2 linked regions of the Drosophila melanogaster genome follow. The gene in region 2 interacts genetically with the main gene of each other region. Each region holds a gene or a part of one and is shown on either strand. Other genes may lie near its edges.

Evidence for each region.
Region 1: of c(3)G (region 2) and vilya, changing one enhances a phenotype caused by changing the other (phenotypic enhancement), as found in Drosophila melanogaster (one study listed by BioGRID).

The regions. Positions count from the first base shown.
Region 1 is NC_004354.4:2,724,678-2,731,772, forward strand, and holds vilya (vilya), read left to right. Parts: upstream 1-2,000; 5' UTR 2,001-2,029; coding exon 2,030-2,550; intron 2,551-2,614; coding exon 2,615-2,807; 3' UTR 2,808-2,891; downstream 2,892-7,095. Other genes in the region: fs(1)Ya (female sterile (1) young arrest), read left to right, coding at 1-1,814; dwg (deformed wings), read left to right, coding at 3,155-3,586, 3,868-4,257, 4,320-5,276; ttm50 (tiny tim 50), read right to left, coding at 5,839-6,029, 6,089-6,212, 6,272-6,800, 6,857-7,040. UniProt on the Drosophila melanogaster protein: Required for the formation of DNA double-strand breaks during meiosis together with narya and nenya.
Region 2 is NT_033777.3:15,787,986-15,798,994, reverse strand, and holds c(3)G (crossover suppressor on 3 of gowen), read left to right. Parts: upstream 1-6,415; 5' UTR 6,416-6,464; intron 6,465-6,522; 5' UTR 6,523-6,552; coding exon 6,553-7,061; intron 7,062-7,116; coding exon 7,117-7,339; intron 7,340-7,410; coding exon 7,411-7,593; intron 7,594-7,646; coding exon 7,647-8,039; intron 8,040-8,102; coding exon 8,103-8,615; intron 8,616-8,680; coding exon 8,681-8,755; intron 8,756-8,810; coding exon 8,811-9,047; intron 9,048-9,105; coding exon 9,106-9,207; 3' UTR 9,208-9,522; downstream 9,523-11,009. Other genes in the region: nsl1 (non-specific lethal 1), read right to left, coding at 1-274, 528-908, 1,201-1,697, 2,104-3,349, 3,416-4,088; Acyp2 (acylphosphatase 2), read right to left, coding at 5,671-5,785, 5,844-5,953, 6,022-6,038, 6,094-6,160; Uros2 (uroporphyrinogen III synthase 2), read right to left, coding at 9,630-10,391; CG9590 (uncharacterized protein), read right to left, coding at 10,790-11,009.

The sequences.
Region 1 (7,095 bases), on a different chromosome or scaffold from region 2:
CCCACATCGAGACCTGCCACCTGCCGCTGCGATGCCGCAAGTGCCAGCGCAACTACACGCGCGTCGATGACCTGCGGGAGTTCAGCAAGTGCGTGGACCAGCAGCAGAGCTGCACTGATGTCACCGGCGCCACGGAGACATCGAAGGCGACGCTAAAGAAGGCAGCGAATAGCACCGCCATTTCAACGCAAACGTCGCCGTCCGTAACGCCCATTTCACTGATCAACATGCGCTGGAAGGCCAAGAGCCGTGTCACCCACGAGGAGTTCATCAGCGACAGCGTCTCCTCCATACGCAACCTGTCGTCGTTCAGCAACAGCTCCATTCGTCGCTCCATTGGCCAACTGGGCGTGAATCCGTCCGAAACGATGGAGAAGGGCAAGGTCATACGCTCGACGTCCACACCACTGCACGTGGAGTCCGTGTTCGCCAAGCCCAAGGAGCCGATTACCTTCAATGCTTCCACTGGCGGCCACGTGTCCAGCATCTACCACGAGGAGCCCAGTCCGACACCCGAAAGCAATCCCGTCCAGCAGCAGCAGCAGCAGCAGCAGCCGTTGCAGCAGCGCGCCTGGAAAATGGGCGCCCGCAACAAGATGAGCGCCGCAACGCCGCTGCGCCAGGTCATGTCCAAGAGCATTCAGAAGGCCTTCGTCGAGCACGGCGGCATGATGGTCCACCAGCCACCATCCGCAGTGGTGCAACGTCGCGTGCGCCTCGATCTCAGCGAGCACAGTTCGCACGAGGCAGCAGGCTCGTCCGCTCTGGACCTGCGACTCTCGCCAGCTATGCGGCGCACCCAGAGCGAGTCCAGCGCCTCGGAGGTCAACAGCGGCAGCAGCTCCAGCTACAGCACCTCGCGGAATGCCGATCTATGCAAGCGGCAGTTCTTGCTGTCCGCACAGAAACTCACCACCGAGTCGATCATCATCACGCGGACGAACTCCAGCTCACAGAAGACCTCTTCCACGGTGTACAACTCATGCGAGAGCGTCGAGATCATACGCTCCACCTCGGAATCAGCGGAAGTGTGCCACGTGCCGGCCATAACGCCCATCCGTGTCACCGGTGCCGGCATCAACAAGAAGCAGATCAAGTTCGAGACGCCGCCCAAGAGCAGCCAACAGATGCGATCGAATGGCGAGGGCGATGAAACCAAGGACCAGTTTTTCACGCCGGAACCGGGAACGCCGGAAATTCCAGAGCGTCGTCATCGCCAGGCGATTGTGCCGCGCCAGCTGAGCGGCGAGTTTTCGCCCAAGAAGGATAAGCCGAAGGAGAAGGGGCTGGCGGTGATGGCCCTGATCTCGCCGCCATTGCAGCAACCCAGGGTGCGTCCTCCGTTGCGGGAATGCCGTCAGCAGAGGGTCTATAGCGGCGTGCAGGATGTGGGCGAGCCGGAGGTCGTGGACGCAGAAGAGGAGGACGAGGTGTTCCGCCCCACAAACGCCTCCACGTGCAACGACAAAAAGCTGGAGGCGCCCAACTCCGGTCGCCTGTGGTCGCTGATGAGTTCCATGATGCGACTGCCGGCCAGCTTGCGCGGCGAACGCGAAAAGGACAGGGACAGGGACAGGGATTCGGATAAGGAGAACGCTGGTTCGGGCTCACTCATCCGTCGCTGCGCCTCCATCGCTGGATCCCTGGTGCGCCCCAGTGCAAGGGACTCCTCCATGGAGGACCAGCAGTGCCTCAAGAGAAAGCGCACTCAGACGCTGGACAGCCAGTACTGTAGCCCGCTGTCGCCGTCCAGCTCCTCGAAGCGCTACCGCATCCGGCCCAGGGAGCCCATCGAGCGCATGCGTCGCCAGTAGGTTTTAAGCTTTTGCCTGCGAATCTGTGTTTTAATTGTGAAATTCTTCTTTTTTTTTATCGTTTAATAAATGTTTGGTCTTGCATTAACCGTTATGCGCAGCAGGAGTTGGCAGGTCCAGGAGCTTAGCTCGTCTCATTCAGAGCTGCCAACTCTATCTATTGATTCTGTTATTAATTAGTTGCGCACAAGATCGAAAAGCTTAACGGAGCGCCCATGGCGAAATCACAAGCAGGTCAGACTGTCGAGCCGGAGGCGTCCAAGCTGTGGATCCACTGCAACAGCTGCTGCGCCCTGTTCTGCGATAAGAAGCACACCTTCTTCCTGCTCGCCTGCCATCACGTGTTCTGCGAGCGGTGCGTCAAGGTCTCCGCCGGCCGCACGCCCAGCGACGCGCCCATATTCGAATGCTCCACCTGTCGGCGGAGCGTGCGCGGCCGCCAGTTGACCAACTCGATGCCCAACCACTTCAAGCAGCTCTTCCATCCGGAGCCCTTCACCATCGGCAACGACTTTGTGGAGACGTTCCAGCGCGGCAATCATCGGCACTTCGACAAGTACAAGGAGAGGAAGGAACTGGAGATGGATAAGCTGTTCAAGGACATCGAGGTGGCCAAGTCCGTGTGCCAGAAACGCTTCCTGGAGGCGCAGATGCTGCGCGTGGAGCGCAAGAAGCTGATGCAGAGGTCGCGCTACATTAAGGCGGAAGTCGCCAATCGGAAGGCGGAAATGCATCGGTGCGACATTTGGATTCCATTGAAAATAGTTCCCATTAATGCATTATATTTCTACCCGCCTTAGGATGGCCCAGGCCTACCGAAGCCGCTCGCTGACTTCGCAATCCTCGTCATCCGCCCAACGCTCGGCGCGCGGACGTCCTCGTGGCCGTGGAACAGCCACACAGTCCTCCAGTCGACGCCGATCAACGGAATCAGCAAAGCGGCAGCAAATCACCAGCTTCATACACCCGCCGAACAACTCGTTCGATCTGTGAGCTAGTGCTGATAGGTAAAGCTCTGTTTTACAACCGAGTATATATTTTTTGTAAATAATCAGCTTAAAACAATAAAATGGTGTCATAAGCTTTAAAATAATAAACTGCTAAGTTAACAGCGACCGTTAAGTTTCAATTAACAGTTTCGTTAGGATAACAGAAGTGTTGAAAGTGAATTCGATTAATCGAAATCCATCGATGACTGCTGCACCGATAATATCGCATAAGCATCTGCTCTAAAAACGCATAAAAATTGAATTGCAAGAAGTAGAAGAGCGAAACGTCATAAAAGCGGCAAATCCGGCGCTGTCCGACAAGAACCACAGGGGAAAGCGGATAAGGACATCATGATGAATAGCAAGATCGCCGAGGTAGTGGTGCTCAACTGCCGGACGTGCACGCGTGCCTGCAAGCTGCACAAGCCGCTGCAGGAGGAGATCGATCTGGGTTCGGAGGGCAGCACCACGCTGGCCAGCATGCTAAACTACTGCACGGGACTCTCGTTCGAGCCGCAAGACGGCGCCGCCATGCCGCAGCACATCTGCCTCCACTGCCTGCAGCTGCTGGAACAGGCGTTCAACTTCAAGCGCATGGTCATCGATTCGGACGAGCTGCTCCGCCTGGGCCTGGACGAGGCGCGCTGCTCCAGCTTTCACGAGAGTCAGACTCATAGCCCCAACCAGAGCCAGCAGCACGACCAGCAACAGCAGGCGTTCGACTCCACCGAGGAGTACGTCATGATCGAGATGCTCAACGAGGAGCAGGAGAACGTCGCCAATGTAAGTATCTATCACTTCACGGTGCAATGGAATGCAATGGTTCTTGTCCACTCCCATAGAGGATTAACGATTGCTCACAGCGGGCACCAGTCACTCAAATCGATTCACTTATATTGTGGCTCTTTGGGATGTAGTAGGGTAGGTCGGTGCCAAAGGAGTGCAACCTGTACCTCCATACAATGGATAACTTGTCTGCTCTTGGTGACACTACGTCTAAATAGGAGATGGGCTTCATCAAGTCTAACTCCAAAGTAAAACCATAACACCTTCTTCATCCGCAGTTGGATGAAGAACTAGCAGAGGAGGATCGTCGCATCTTCGCGATGACCGTGGATGAGGAGGAGGAGTTTCTCACCGAGGAGGTGGATCAGGATGACGAGCTGTCGGAGGAGGAGCACCAGCTGGCACAGTCGGGCGACCAGCAGGAGGAACACATCACTATGGAGAGCGTGCATGAGTTTCAGCCCGCCGAAGTGGAGTATGTGACCATTAAGAATGAGTTCGAAACGATCGTCACGGAGGAGGATGAGTTCGAGGTGATGAACGACTCCGGCGCCCACGACGCCATACTGGACTGTCAGATGATTGTGATACCCGCCGAGGGAGCCATTGACGAGGTCATCGGCGAGGAGACCCTCGAATTGGAGGGGGATGGGCGCGAGGAGCATCTGGTGAGAAAGGTCAAATTATATTGCACTAGAATACCATTTATCCTCCATTCACCTACACACAGCTGCCGGAGGCGGAGGATGTCTGCGAAGATGAGGACTTCCTGGAGGAGTCGCTGGACTCAGCGCCGCCGACCGCTGGCGAGGCGCTGCCGTACGTGTGCACCGTGTGCCAGAAGGCGTTCCGCCAGCAGTGCCGTCTCAACCAGCACATGCGCTCCCACGTGGACGAGAAGCAATACGAGTGCGAGGAGTGTGGCAAGCGTCTGAAGCACCTACGCAACTACAAGGAACACATGCTGACACACACAAATGTCAAGCCGCACCAGTGCAGCATATGCGGCCGCTTCTATCGTACCACCTCCAGTCTGGCAGTGCACAAGAGAACTCATGCGGAGAAGAAACCCTACAACTGCGATCAGTGCGGCCGCGGATATGCGGCGTTCGATCATCTGCGGCGCCACAAGCTCACGCACACGGGCGAGCGACCATACGCCTGCGATCTGTGCGACAAGGCCTACTACGATTCGTCCTCGCTGCGCCAGCACAAGATAAGCCACACCGGCAAGAAGGCTTTCACCTGCGAGATCTGCGGCGTGGGACTGTCTCAGAAGTCGGGCTACAAGAAGCACATGATGGTCCACAGTGGCGTCAAGGCGCACAAGTGTGATGTTTGCGGGCATGCCTTCACCTTTACCAGCAACCTCAATGCCCATGTTCGCCTCCATTCCGGCGAAAAGCCGTTTAAGTGCGAGGTCTGCGTTAAGGCCTTTCCCACAAAGAAGCGACTGGCCAGTCATATGCGCGTCCACAACAAGGAGTCGCCGGTGACGGCCACCGTTGCTGTTCAGTCCATCAATCCTCCCAGCCGACAAGCGGGCGCAGAAGGTGCGACAGGCGGAGGTGCGACAGGTGGAAGTCCGACCGGTGGAGGTGCGACCGGTGGATCGGCAACCAACCTTCACATAACCGAAGTTCATGAGCAGCCGGTGTCCACCTCCAAAGTGGTGATGGTGCTGTGAGCGGCCACCAAGCCGTGGGAGCGGCTCTAGAATGTAAGCCTAGGCTAAGGATTAGACACTTAGTTCAATAAAACTGATTTTTGTTCCAGAAAAAACTGAAAGAAAATTCGACACTTATTTTTTACATACATAAAAATAATTTTGTTTTCACGATAACTATCTCAGCAGGTTTAGCCACTCTTATCCATCAATTGTGATTAGATAACGCACAGCAAGTTCTCCACTTTCGTAACGAAACACATGGATGTCTTGTTTTTGGTTTTACGGTTAAGTCGTCTCTTTATAATAATAATATTACGATTAAATTGCCAAAAAACAAAAACAAGCAAGTTTAGTTATTCAATAAAACAAAAACATGCGCCTCGTCTTTTCCCAAAGGAGCAAAAGACAGAGCGTGCCTCCCAATCCTGCTGTCTGCTGTCTGCTACTGCTTCCCACTAACTACTCCAAAAGTCGACGAAAAATATGGCCAGTGTGCTGCTGCAGGGCGTGTTTGTTGCTCCGGCGCAGGCGGAAGGTTAAGGTATGCGTATGGAACGGGTTGTGCGGTATGGCCAGCCTCCTAGCGGCCGAGAATGTTGCGCGACCACTGTTTGACCATTGGCTTGGTCTTGGACTGCTCGATGCGTTCCGCCTCCAGCATTTGTTCGGCCAGCTTGCGCTGGTTCTCCCGGAACTGGTTGATGGGATCGTCGAACTGGCGATAGTAGTGGAGCACCTCGCGCACGTCGTCCACGTTGTTCTGCGCAATTACTGTAGCGAATTGCAAGGGTCAGTGTTTAGCTTTCAATGTCACTTGTGGCGCAACTTACTCTTTAGGAAAGCGATAAGGTCCAGCAGTTGGCCATCATCGTCGTTGCCATGCCAGCGGGCCAAGCCGAATGTGTTGTCCGGATGCATCTTGGTGGCATTCGCATCCCAGTCCACAACAATCACCTAAAATACTCCCTTCTTTATAGATGATTGCAATAGAAAATACGTTGTGCATGACTTGCCTTCTTGAGGTCGCGATTAAGGTTGTCCAGGTTCTTCACATGATGGCCGTCCACAAAGTGCGTGGCATCCCTGACCAGGCGGTACATAATGTAGCCGTTGGGATCGAGGGCATCCAGGATGGGGAACACGGTCATGCCCTGTTCGGCGGTGAAGACGACAATTTCAAAGTCCTTGGCGCACTCGGCCAGAAAGTGGTCGACGCCGGGACGCTTCTTGAAGCGCCAGCCAGTTTGGTAAGTCCAGTCCGGATGCACCAGCACGTCCTTCATCTCCAGCACAAGCGTGTAGCGCGGCTGCACGTACGGCGGCTTGAGCGGATCGGGCAGCAGTTTGGCGCGCGACGGCTCCTGGATCATGCGCTGATAGTAGTGAATGCTCTTCCACATCCGCTGCAGATACTGCTGTACCAGCGGCTTGTGTGTGAACTCGTCCTCGATGGGCTGCCCGTTGGGGTCCACCTCGGGCTTGCCGAACTCGTAGACGGCCCAGAATCCAGCAGCCACGGCGCTGCCTCCGAATATTGCAAAGCTGCAGCAGGAAGTATTGTTATAATACTGTTACGCATTGAATGGGCGTCAGCTTACCCCAGCTTCATGCGCTTCCAGGCACGCTCGTTCTCCTTTTCCTCCTCCTCCTCGCGCTTCTTGCGCTCCTGCTCGGCGTTGCTGTCCACCTCCGGCGAGGTCTGAGGAAAGAGCTTGGCCAGCAGCGGGGCATTCGGTGCGACCTCGGGCGCATCATTGGGGCCAGTGGCTCCAGCTTCCTGCTCTGCGAAACGAAAGTGGCCAAGGATGAATGTTTAGGACTCTACTGTTTAGGACTC
Region 2 (11,009 bases):
CTCCTGCTTTGCTCCCCCCACTGATCGCCGTAGCCATTGAGATGATGATTGTTGATTTTGGTGCCGTGGTGATTCTGCTGCTGCTGTGTGGAATTGCTGCTGCTGCTGTTGGTTGCGGATTTGCGTGCCTTCTTAGCGCCGCTCAGTGCCGAGATCGAGGTTGAGGAGGGACTGTGGTGGCGTTGTCGTTGGCGTTGGCGAGAGTCTGGCCACAGCGAGCTGGAACTGTTCGCTCCAGTTGGGTGTTGTGGTTGCCGCTTGCCCCTGGCCGCTGCTGATGTTGCGTCAAGTCCGTGATTTGGATGCGGAACGGGGACGAAACGGAGACAAGAACGGAATGGCAAAATAAAACAATTGGTGGGGTTTTTCGTTGTTGTTGTTGGTGGTGGTGTTTGTTGATGGTGTTGGTGGAATTTCGTGTTTTGGTTGATCGATGCAAAGAAAAAGAAGAAGAAGAGATGCAAAAGATTGTTGTTGTTTTATGTTAATAACAATTATCGAATTTCGTCATGTTTACAATAATTTACTGTTGGCCACAAGTGGCGTTGTAGTAGGCGTAGTAGAAGAAGAAGTAGTAGCAGTACCAGTACCGTTTCCGCTATCCCCTCCCCCGACGCTACTGCTTCCGTTTCCGCCTGCTCCTCCTGCGGCGACAGCAGCAGCTTTAGCTCCGCTCCCAGCCTCCTTATTTGAGTTGTTGTTGCGCTCCTTGCGTCGTATATAACGCCGCTTCGCCGCATCGCCCGACCGCCGGCTGCCACCTTGTCCGCCGACACCGCCTGAGGCTATCGTCTCGCGCTCCGCCTTCCACATGGCCTTGACAATGGCCTTGGGCTGGCTGCGCATGACGCGGTACTGCCAGTCCGGCTGGCGGGCAACGGCCTCCAAGTGAACCGACTGACTGACATCTGGGAAACAAGAATGATAGGGATAAGAATATATTCAAACATAATTCCACTTTAGCTGTCATCATCCGACTATTTCTTTTCATTTTGGAATCCAATGTAAAGAATACGAGGATTTTAATGTTTTAGTTTCGAATAAAAATTATTTGCAAGTATTGCATTTTAAAGTTTTACTTTTTAATCAATTCAGTTCAAATCTCAAGTGTAGAATAAATAATGTTAAACCATCACAGATGATAAGAAATAATCATGGACGAAAACCAAATGGGTCCACTCAGTGTAACCTCCCACTCACCGCTGGCGAAGCTGAGCACTGGATGGTAGCCAGCATCGAGCAATGCCACCCGGTTTTGCGGCATCATCGTCTCGACCAGATCCCTGGGCGCCGTAGGGTCTGTCCGACCCGTGCACAGTGTGCATGGCACCTGCGGCCACTGGCAGCCACACTTAATGTTGCTGGGGCGTGCGGCTTTCTTGGAAATCGTGTGCATGTTCGTGGTCTGGAAGAGCTTGCGTTTGCGGAACTCGGACAGCACCAATGGACGTGCCCGACTGCAGAGGTAGTCGGATCCGGGCTCCTCCTTAATGCCATTTGCCGGCTGTGCTAGCGACGGTGAGGTCTTAGCTGTGGACTCCAGCTGGATCTCGCCCTTGGACTGAGTTAGATCCATGTAAAGGTCGCTGTGCTGACGGATCTTCATCTCCAAATCGGTCAGCTGGGAGCAGAGCCAGGACCAGCGCAGGGCAATGGCTGCACGATCTCTCGAATATCGCCAGACAGCGCGTCGAGTGCTGCAAAGAATCAAATTTCAAGAGCATTAGGAAAGAGAATACCACAAAAAAAAAGCTAAAAGAAATATATAATCGCTAATTAACAATTTTAATAAAAACTGTTGAAATAGTTGAAATATCGCATTGTAAATGCGATAATTAGGTACAACAACTCTAATCAAAGCCTATTACAACTTTTCAATTGCTAAGGACGACGTTAAATCATGTTTAAAATGCCTGTCAAAGCAAAACAATTTTGAAAGAAAACTACCGAGCCAACATTAATCGGACAAATTCTATAGCAAAAGAATGATCTTAAAAAGATGACAGAAGCTGAAAACCCCCCTCAAAAAAAGATGGAAGAAAGTTTACTTGTAAAATATTCCCGATAACCTAAGTATGTACATAAATAATACGAAGTACTCACATTGGTAGCGAGAGCTGCTGGTTGTTGTTGTAGGTTACCATCTCGTCAGCGGATTCTCCACCAGAACTTGACTCCGTGGCGTCCGAGTCGATGGCATTCTGTACTTCTCGAAGCTCCGTGTGCAGCAGGCCAGACACATGGGTGAGTTCATTAGTCACATAGGTGTCGTAGCCGGGCACGATATCATCCGCCCGCGGTGTATTCGAACCCGTTGCGGATCCCGTCGTGCCAGCTGCCTGTCTAGATGTTACCGCTCCTGGCGCAGGTGCAGTGGGTGTGGCACCCGTTGCAACCGAAGCATCAAGTTGATTCTTTCGTGGACGCTTCATCGGCAGCGCAGAGCTGTTGCAGCTGTTGTACCAGCTGGAGGATGGCGCCAGAGTAGCAGAGCTTCCGCTGGCTGAGTGGCAGATTTGCTGATGCTTTGCCGCCGTCGCAATATGCCGGATCACATTACTCATCTGGCTAGCAGGCAGCGGATGCTTGTTCTGCTCCTCCCAGAAGGTTGAGCTCGGACGCCCTGAGACAATCGATAGGACAGTGGCCTCCTGCTCAGTCAGCGTGGAACTTCTCGCTGGAACTGGAGCCTTATGGGAACTGCGGGCAGACCACTCCATGATACCAACCACCTCCTCGCTCGCGTGACGGCACATCGCTCGCGCCTGGAGCTTGCGCATCCTGCGTAGCAAAAACTCGATCCTGCGCGAGATAACGTGCTGCTGCTGCTCCAACTCAGCATGACTCTCCTGCCAGGGCCGCTGCTCCTGCTTAATAATCACATTCGGCTGGGAAATGTTGCTGCCGCTAACGAGGATGCCACTGCAGCTGGGCTTCGCGCCCGGCACATCCACCACATTTTCGGGTGGCGCGGGCGGCAATGGCGCTGCCGGTGCTGCCTCTTCCCAAACTTCGTCGAAAAACTCGCAAATGGTATCTGGATTAACATGGCCACCGTCAAATGTTTTGAGCGCTTTAAGCACCTCCTCGATATCCTGATCCTCTAGAACAGCACCAGCTGCTCCGTCTTTGAGAAAATTGTTGGAACTGGTGGTGCTTTGCGGCGTCATCTGTTGAATGGACTGCTGCTGTGTTCGCGCCGGCTGCGGAGACTCAAGATGGGCACTTGGTGGCGCCTGTGGCCTGGTGGGCGTGTTTGGCGCCTCCTGCACGGGTACCGGAACAGAAGGTGGTGCCACATGCTCCTCGGGCCTTCCAGTGGCATTCCCATCTAGCTGGCTGAGACGCTCTGAAACAGTGGGCGAGAGAAATTTTGAGTCAAGACTATTTATTTGGAGTGATTCCTTAGACCCACCTTCTATATTATCTATTTCTATCTTGGTCACCTCATCCACTGCAGATAAGGATAGAGCGCTGCCAGCACTCGTTGAACTTGTGGCCACTGCCAGCACCGAGGCAGGCGGAACCGGCTCTTTCCCCAGACTCACATCGGGTAGGGTTTTCCTCAGGCAAATCTCCGCGGATATGGTCTCCTCAAAGTTGATGGTTAGATCCGCCAGTAGCTGAGCGGTGGAGTTGTCCTTGGGCGTGGAGCTGTTGTCGGCGGAGGTGCTGTTGCCGGCGGAGGTACTGTTGCTGTCGTTATTGTTGTGCTCCACGGCAGAGGTGGAGGCTGCCGCAGTATCCGTCGAGGGATTTGGTGAAGTGGTGCTGTGTGGAGTCGGGGCTGTGCTCAGCCCCATTGGTTCATTGCTGGCTTTAGCGTTGCCCGACTTTCGCTTGTTATTGATTGCTAGCGAGGATCGCTGCTGTTGTAGATGCGGGGAAGCGGTAACTGAGGCCGCTGCCGCTGATGAGCGGGTAATCCGCGTGGTGGCCGTGGCCGGCGTGGGTGTTGCCGGCTTCTTGACCAAGCCAACTGCACATCCAACTCCTCCGCTTTCCGAGGAGCTGCGGGCCGAGGGCGAGGCGGTGCTGGTTAGCTTCTCCTTTGGACTTAGTGGCTCGGCTGTGAGCGCTGGGGCCATCGTTCTGATGCTAATACGTTGGCCGGCTGCTGCGGCATTTGGTTCGTTCGACTCCTAAGGCGTCTCTTTATGCTAATCCTGTCGAGAATTTTCCAAAAACGGGCTATTATTTTTCGGCAATTCAGCGTTAGGACGACAAAATAAAGGCATACTATTCGGTCCGAGACTACTGCGTTATCATATAAAAGAACAATATTGGTGTATTTATTTTTTATCTCGTTTAAACCGCCCGCCTCCGTAAGATTTCAAAATTTGGAATGGTTTTTTTTTTTTGTCTTTTCCGGCGTGTTATGTACATATGCTACATATGCGTACACAACACACACACAGCGTCGCTTTGGCCAACAAGAGAACCCATGAGAGCGAGAGAGAGGTCAGAAAGCGCGCTATTGCACACCATGATGCGCAATAAAAAAAACTGTATAGAACACACACACACAAACATATGCAGGGACTGACAGACTACTTTACATACTGACGAAATCATTGCGGTTACTTTCGAAAATTACAATTTTCCAAGATTGGGCATCTTCTGCCGGCGGGAAACTGCCGATCATGCCACCATGTTTTTATGTAATTCCGTTTATTGAGTTTTTCCACTACAATTAGCCTAGGCAAACGGAAACTCGCGCCTTTACACACACACACGCACATGCTAGCACACACACACGTGCAACTGTATGCGCCACTATATTCAGTTATTTACACAATCTCATTTATTGTATTCCACATGTCTCGATCAATTCTGCAGTAAAAATCAGTTATATGTGCTTTGTGTCCTATCTATATTCGCCCAGATTCCAGCGAAAGGGCAGTGGAAAAAGGTTTTCAGCGCGAAAGTAATCGTACTCACTAACACATGCAAGCAAGAACACACCGACAGCAGGCAGGCAGCACGCAAGAATTTGTAAATTGCTTAAAAATTAAGTAGTATTTTTTTTCATTATACGCACAATTCGGCCGTTCCGAAAAATTGCCCGTAGCACAATTGGCAAATATTTTTTGCAAACACAATGGCGTGACTCGCACTGTAGGAATTACGGTTTTCGCTTCACGGACTTTTTTCCTCATTTATTTTTTTCATCGCTTAGACTGCTCTGCTACGCTTTTGGCAAAACGACGTGTATCGAAGCTGTACTCGTTTCTGTGCCAGACCAAAGTGCGCTGTCGCCCAGCTGGTTGTCTCGCTCTTGCACGTGCGCCGCCTATGGCGGTGGCGCGGCCCACTGTTGTGTGTGCGAGCGAGATGACCAGTGTCTATGGCAGGGAGCTGCAAACTATCGGCTGTGATAGCAATATATCGAGTAGATACTGGAGTGGTGCGCACTTTCGACTAGCGACTATCGATTCTCGGAATAATTTTCCGCCTTGTTTTAAATAATTTATTATTTATTTATTGTTGTACTTCAGTACTGGGTTCAGTTTTGCGAAACGTAATATTTCTTATGTTCATACTATCGAATGTTATCGACTCAGTCGATAGCAATGCAGATATGCCTGCTTACGCAAGTTGCAGCCCTGGTAATTTATTTAGACTTTGTTTCGGAATTGGATGGACAACGAAAGAGCTAATAATTCGTTTTTAATGTTTTATGTCAAAGGAAGTGAACGTATAGTCCTCGATTTCCTGGATTTGCGAAAATTCAGCCTTTGAGACCTTAGCGTTGGGAATTCGGTTGTTCTCCAGCCAATGTTTCCTTCAAATTAGTGGGCGATGGTTAAATGATTGAATTAGTGGAGTGCAGCGGTACCTACATTTCCATTAAATTCATCATAGGAGCCTCCAGTTGTCCCTTGACGGTCCCATCCCGGGTATTCATGCACCAGCCCCTAACTCCCAATCTTTTAGCCTCATGCGACGTGTGCTAAGCCAAAAATGTACATAAGTTAAATGTTGATTTCCAGATATATATATAGGCCTCCCAGTACTTACTTTGCGGAAGAACACACCTGCAAAATTTAATACGCTGTTTAACAAGCCGAATCAGAAAAATGCATTGCATACCTTGCACTCGTCCAAAGATCTCGAAATCGAGGGCAAATATCTGCTTGGCAACTCCAGATCCCGCCATTATGTAGTCGTGATCAGATTTCTGATGCCACTTAGATTCCTTGCAGCACTCAAATTTCTAAATAGAGCTAGCAAAAACTGAATGTTGACAACCAAAATAGAATTATTATTAAATTGTAACATAGTTATCGTAGCCAGGGCGACAACGCAAAACCAGGGGCGTTCAGTAGAAAATACCGTGAGGTCAGTATTTAGACAGTACACACACCTCTTGTGAACAACAATATACTGTAGGTCATCAAGCTCATCTCTAGCTAATGTTTACCGTTGCTTTTCAACGCAGGACGCACTTGGTAAAAGTTTAGGTAAACTAAACAAAACGTTTGTAATGTACAATATATATTTATTTCTTTTATAAATTAGTTGCGCTAATACAACTGCTTAGCTGGCAAAATGACGGGCGCCAAGAAAAGATCGGGAGCACCGTTAGTGGATGCAGCTCACTCGAAAGCCCCAAAACCAGGTACAGTTGCCCAAGAAAAAAACAGCCAAATTCCAACTGTTTGGAAAAAGGATCATGTAAAAACTCAACTTTTCGAAAGATCAAACGAAAAGCCATCCAAAAAAAGAACTCCGCTAGTGGCTCCTAGAGTTCAGCAATCAAAAATTGAAGCGCAAACTTCTCAGGCTGTGGAAAAAACACAGGAAGACCAAACTTTTGCAGCCACCATAGACAGTTCAACAAAAAGTCTAAAAAAGTCTCCCAAAAACGAGGGAGAATTATGGGCAGATATTCAGAAGCTGTCGCCCCACACGGGAATAATAATTCATAGCTTCATAAAGCAGTACAACGAATCGCTAAATAATCTCAAGAAGAAAGACTTGGTGGTCAGCAAGAAAATGAGAGCCATCGCCATGGACTCGCTGAAGAAAAAATCGGAAAATATCAGCTTGAAGGAAAAGTAAGACCTTCCTTCTTCAATACAGTTCCTGCCTGCAGTGAGCTTATTCTTTCAGGTTGACAAATATGGAACTGGAGCTGACCCAACTGAAAACTGATCTTATCGAGCAGCAGGAGAAGAACGCAGAGAACATCCAGAAGTACACGGAAATCAACAAAAAGTACACCCACTGCGAGCAACATTACGACAAGGAGCTGGAAATCATTAAAGTATGTGTTGAGAAGAAAAATTCAGAGCTCCGAGATGCTCAATCCCGGATGGCCCTGCAGGCGCAAGAGGTGAGTTTACTATATTTTAAAATATATAGATATAAATTTATATATATCTACATGTGTATCTCACTTTGCAGCTGAATAATATGCAGCAAACGAATCGTGAGTTAGCTGGAGCCTGCGAGAATTATAAAAAGGATTTGGAAGAAGCAGAAGTGGCCAAATCTATGATTCTACATGAACTTACCGATCTCAAAGAGCTCCACGAAGACCTACAGCTTCAATTTGAAGATGTGTCTGCACAAAAGGAAAAGTTTGAGGTGGGTTACACTGGCTTTCCTTGTATTAGATTATAACATTATGTTCTCCACAGGCAAACATTTTACAATTAAGCAGCGACTTAAATGCAAAGATGCTTGACTGCGCCCAGCTTGAAGATCGCATTGAGCAGCTGCCAATAGAGGCCAACAAAGCTTTGTCGAAACTGCAACGTGATTTAGAAGCCAGTGAATTGCAGTTCGTGGATCAGCAACGATTGACTGATCAGGCAACGAGGGAACTCGAACTTGTTCGCAATGAGATAAATACGTTTAAGACTCTTATTGAGGAAAAGGAAAGAAGACATGTTTCCCTAAGTGATGAACTAACTCAAATGACGGAGAGATTGAGCGAGCTCGCTGATATCAACGAAAGTTATATCAATGAGTTGACTGAAACAAAATTGAAGCACTCCCAGGAAATAAAAGATCAAGCAGATGCCTACGAGGTTGGTCTGAAAAATACTAAATTCATATTTTATTGTATCTTGATTATTTATTCTCCTTGACAGATTGTTGTTCAAGAGTTAAAAGAGAGCTTGAACAAGGCTTCAGTTGATTTTACTCAGCTAAAAAGCAACAGTGAGAAGCTACACAAAGAAACCCTTCTGCAGGTCTCCGAACTGCAGGAAAAACTTATAGAAATGGTGTCCCATCGCAGCAATCAGGAAGAGCTAATAAAGCGTCTTGGTAATGAAATTCAAGAAAAAACTCATAATTTTGAAGAAGAACTCAAAAGGCAACAGGAGCAGCTTGCTAATCAAATGCAGATGAAGGCCACTGAAGTTGAGAGCGAAAATAAGCGAAACGCTGTTGAAATACAAAAACTTAAATCTGAACTCGAAGAAAGGAATAAAGCTTTTAAGGCTCAACAGGATAAATTGGAATATTTGATTAGTGATCATGATACGCTAAAGAGCGCTATTATCAATCTTCAGGCTGAAAAGAAGGAAATCGAGAGTGAATTATCCACGGCCAAAGTTAAATTTAGCGAGGAATTACAGTCTCAGAAAGATAACCTAATGGTAAGACTTATAAATTCTTTTTCATTAACCTTTTTTCTACAAAATGATTTATTATTTTTATATAGAAAAAGGTATCCGAATTGGAGCTTGAAATTAAAAGAAAAGAAACCGAATTGATTGAACTTGAGCGTGAAAAGAACGTAAGTCTATCGGACTCATTATATTTCATGTTATATATTTAAAATTGCCCAACAGAATGAAATGGCTGTGCTACAATTTAAAATGAATCGAATTAACTGCCTGATCGACCAACCAGTGACCACAATTAAACAGCTAAAAGATTCCAAAGGGCCAACCAGAACTGAGAGCATTCCTACTAAGGTGCAACCGGAAAATACAGACGAATTTTCAAGCACTGCCAGAAAGCGTAATGCTCGTCGTCAAAAAATTACCACATATTCCTCCGACTTTGATAGCGGCGATGATATACCAGTGAGTATTTGTTAATTGCACCTATAATCGAAATTAAATTATTGAACTTTTATTACAGATCGTGGGCAACTCTTTAAGCGGCAAACGTGCCAAATTATGTGCGCCCATCAAGCCACAAAATAATATTGATATGTTCGACATGTTGAAGAATTCTAAATAACTAAGCAGTACAACGAACATACAGACAACATTATCAATTCTTACACTTTGTTTTTAGTAAAATGGAAGAATATTGAGCTTAGAAATTCATTCAGATCCATCATCATTTAAACATCTGTACTTCTTTGAAAACTTGTCTGAAACTGGCAAGCTATTTTTAAGAACATGATTACTTTATGTTATTTAATCCCATTTTGTATCTAATTGTTAAATTAAAACTCATATCTTGAAGTATCTTGTTCAAATAGATCCAATCTATTTGATTATAGTTTTTGTAATAAAAACATTACATGTACTTTGTTGAAACACTTTAATTAATAACACACTTTTGTCCTCATTTCTTTAAAGGACACCAAACAGATTTTGAAATCATACCAAAAGTAAAAACTGGTAAAAACAAAACGTAAAATGATCGATACTAAACTATGTTTTGATGATATTTATCAGGCGGTCGACGTCAGCAGCATTCACGACTCCGTCCGCCTTAATTCCAGATTCCTCCATTGCCTTCCTGGTGCCACTGCCCACGGCTATCAGCTTGCGATCCTTAAGCGAAACGTTGTAGTTCCCAAAGAACTCCAAGGAGCTGCGGACACTGGAGGGTCCGAAGAACACAATCGTTTCCATTCGCTTGAATTTGAGGGCGTGCCGCATCTGATTGACGAAATCCGGATGCGACCGACTCTCGTACACTTCGCAGGCATCCACCCGGAATCCCTGGGCGACCAAACGGAGGCGCAGTGTCTGACCCACGCCATTGCCGCAGGGCATGAGCAGTGGCAGATCCCTCTTGGGTCCAAACGTCTCCACGATCAGATCGCACAGATTGTTTGCATTCACGGCATGATCGCCCAGAGTCGGAAGATTCTGGAATGTTATCCAGGCGGCGCTGTGCGTGTTCTTGCCTAGGGAATAATTGTGTAACGCACGCCAGCAACTAGGAAGTGGTGTCTTTCCTAGTGCCTCGTTTACAGCTTGGACACAGCGCGGGGATGCAAATATAATCCCGGCATATTTGTGCGGCTCATGCAACTTGGCTTGCAATTGCTTCAGATTCTTGAACACAAAATGCGAGGGAGTAATGAAGATGGGATCCAGGTTATGGCTGCGCAACGCCGAACCATAGAAATCATCGGAGGACGGAACCTTCAGCAGAATAACCGGCTGCTTGTTGCGATCTCCCATGATTCTAACTAAATTTTGCTGGACTTAACTAGAGAATGGACAATTTGATATTCGTGTTTTGCGTTTGATTTATAGAATAGTTCGAATAGAAAGGGCATAGAATAGATAATGCCTGAAAATTATTGCCGCGCCTATCGAGAGTCGGGTTTTAAAAATAGTTCATCACATTGAAGCCAACTATTATTAGGTGGCTCTAATCCAACCAAACACGAATGCAGGCTACCGAACTTTCAGTTGCACTTTGAAAAAACTTCTCAATAATTTCGGGAATGTTATCACAAGCATTTGCAACGCAATCATTTATAATTTTGTACATTTATATGGAAAAACAAGTGAGTTGAGAACACTAACCAGGCAATAGTAAAAGTAGAAAGTACAACAATTAATCTTAAATCCGTTTACACAGCTCCCATCTGGAGAATGGGTGTAAATAGCTTGTAGGCCTTCTCGATGAACTGCACGGCAGATAGCATTTCGGAAAAGAATGTGCTGACCCGGCCTTTTGATTCCTCCGTTTCTGACTTGCCGCTCAGAACGGCGGCGAAGCGGTGGCTAAGTCCTTGAAGGTGTCCATTGAACTGCTGGCAGAGATTGACGACGCCATCCACTTCGTTGGCG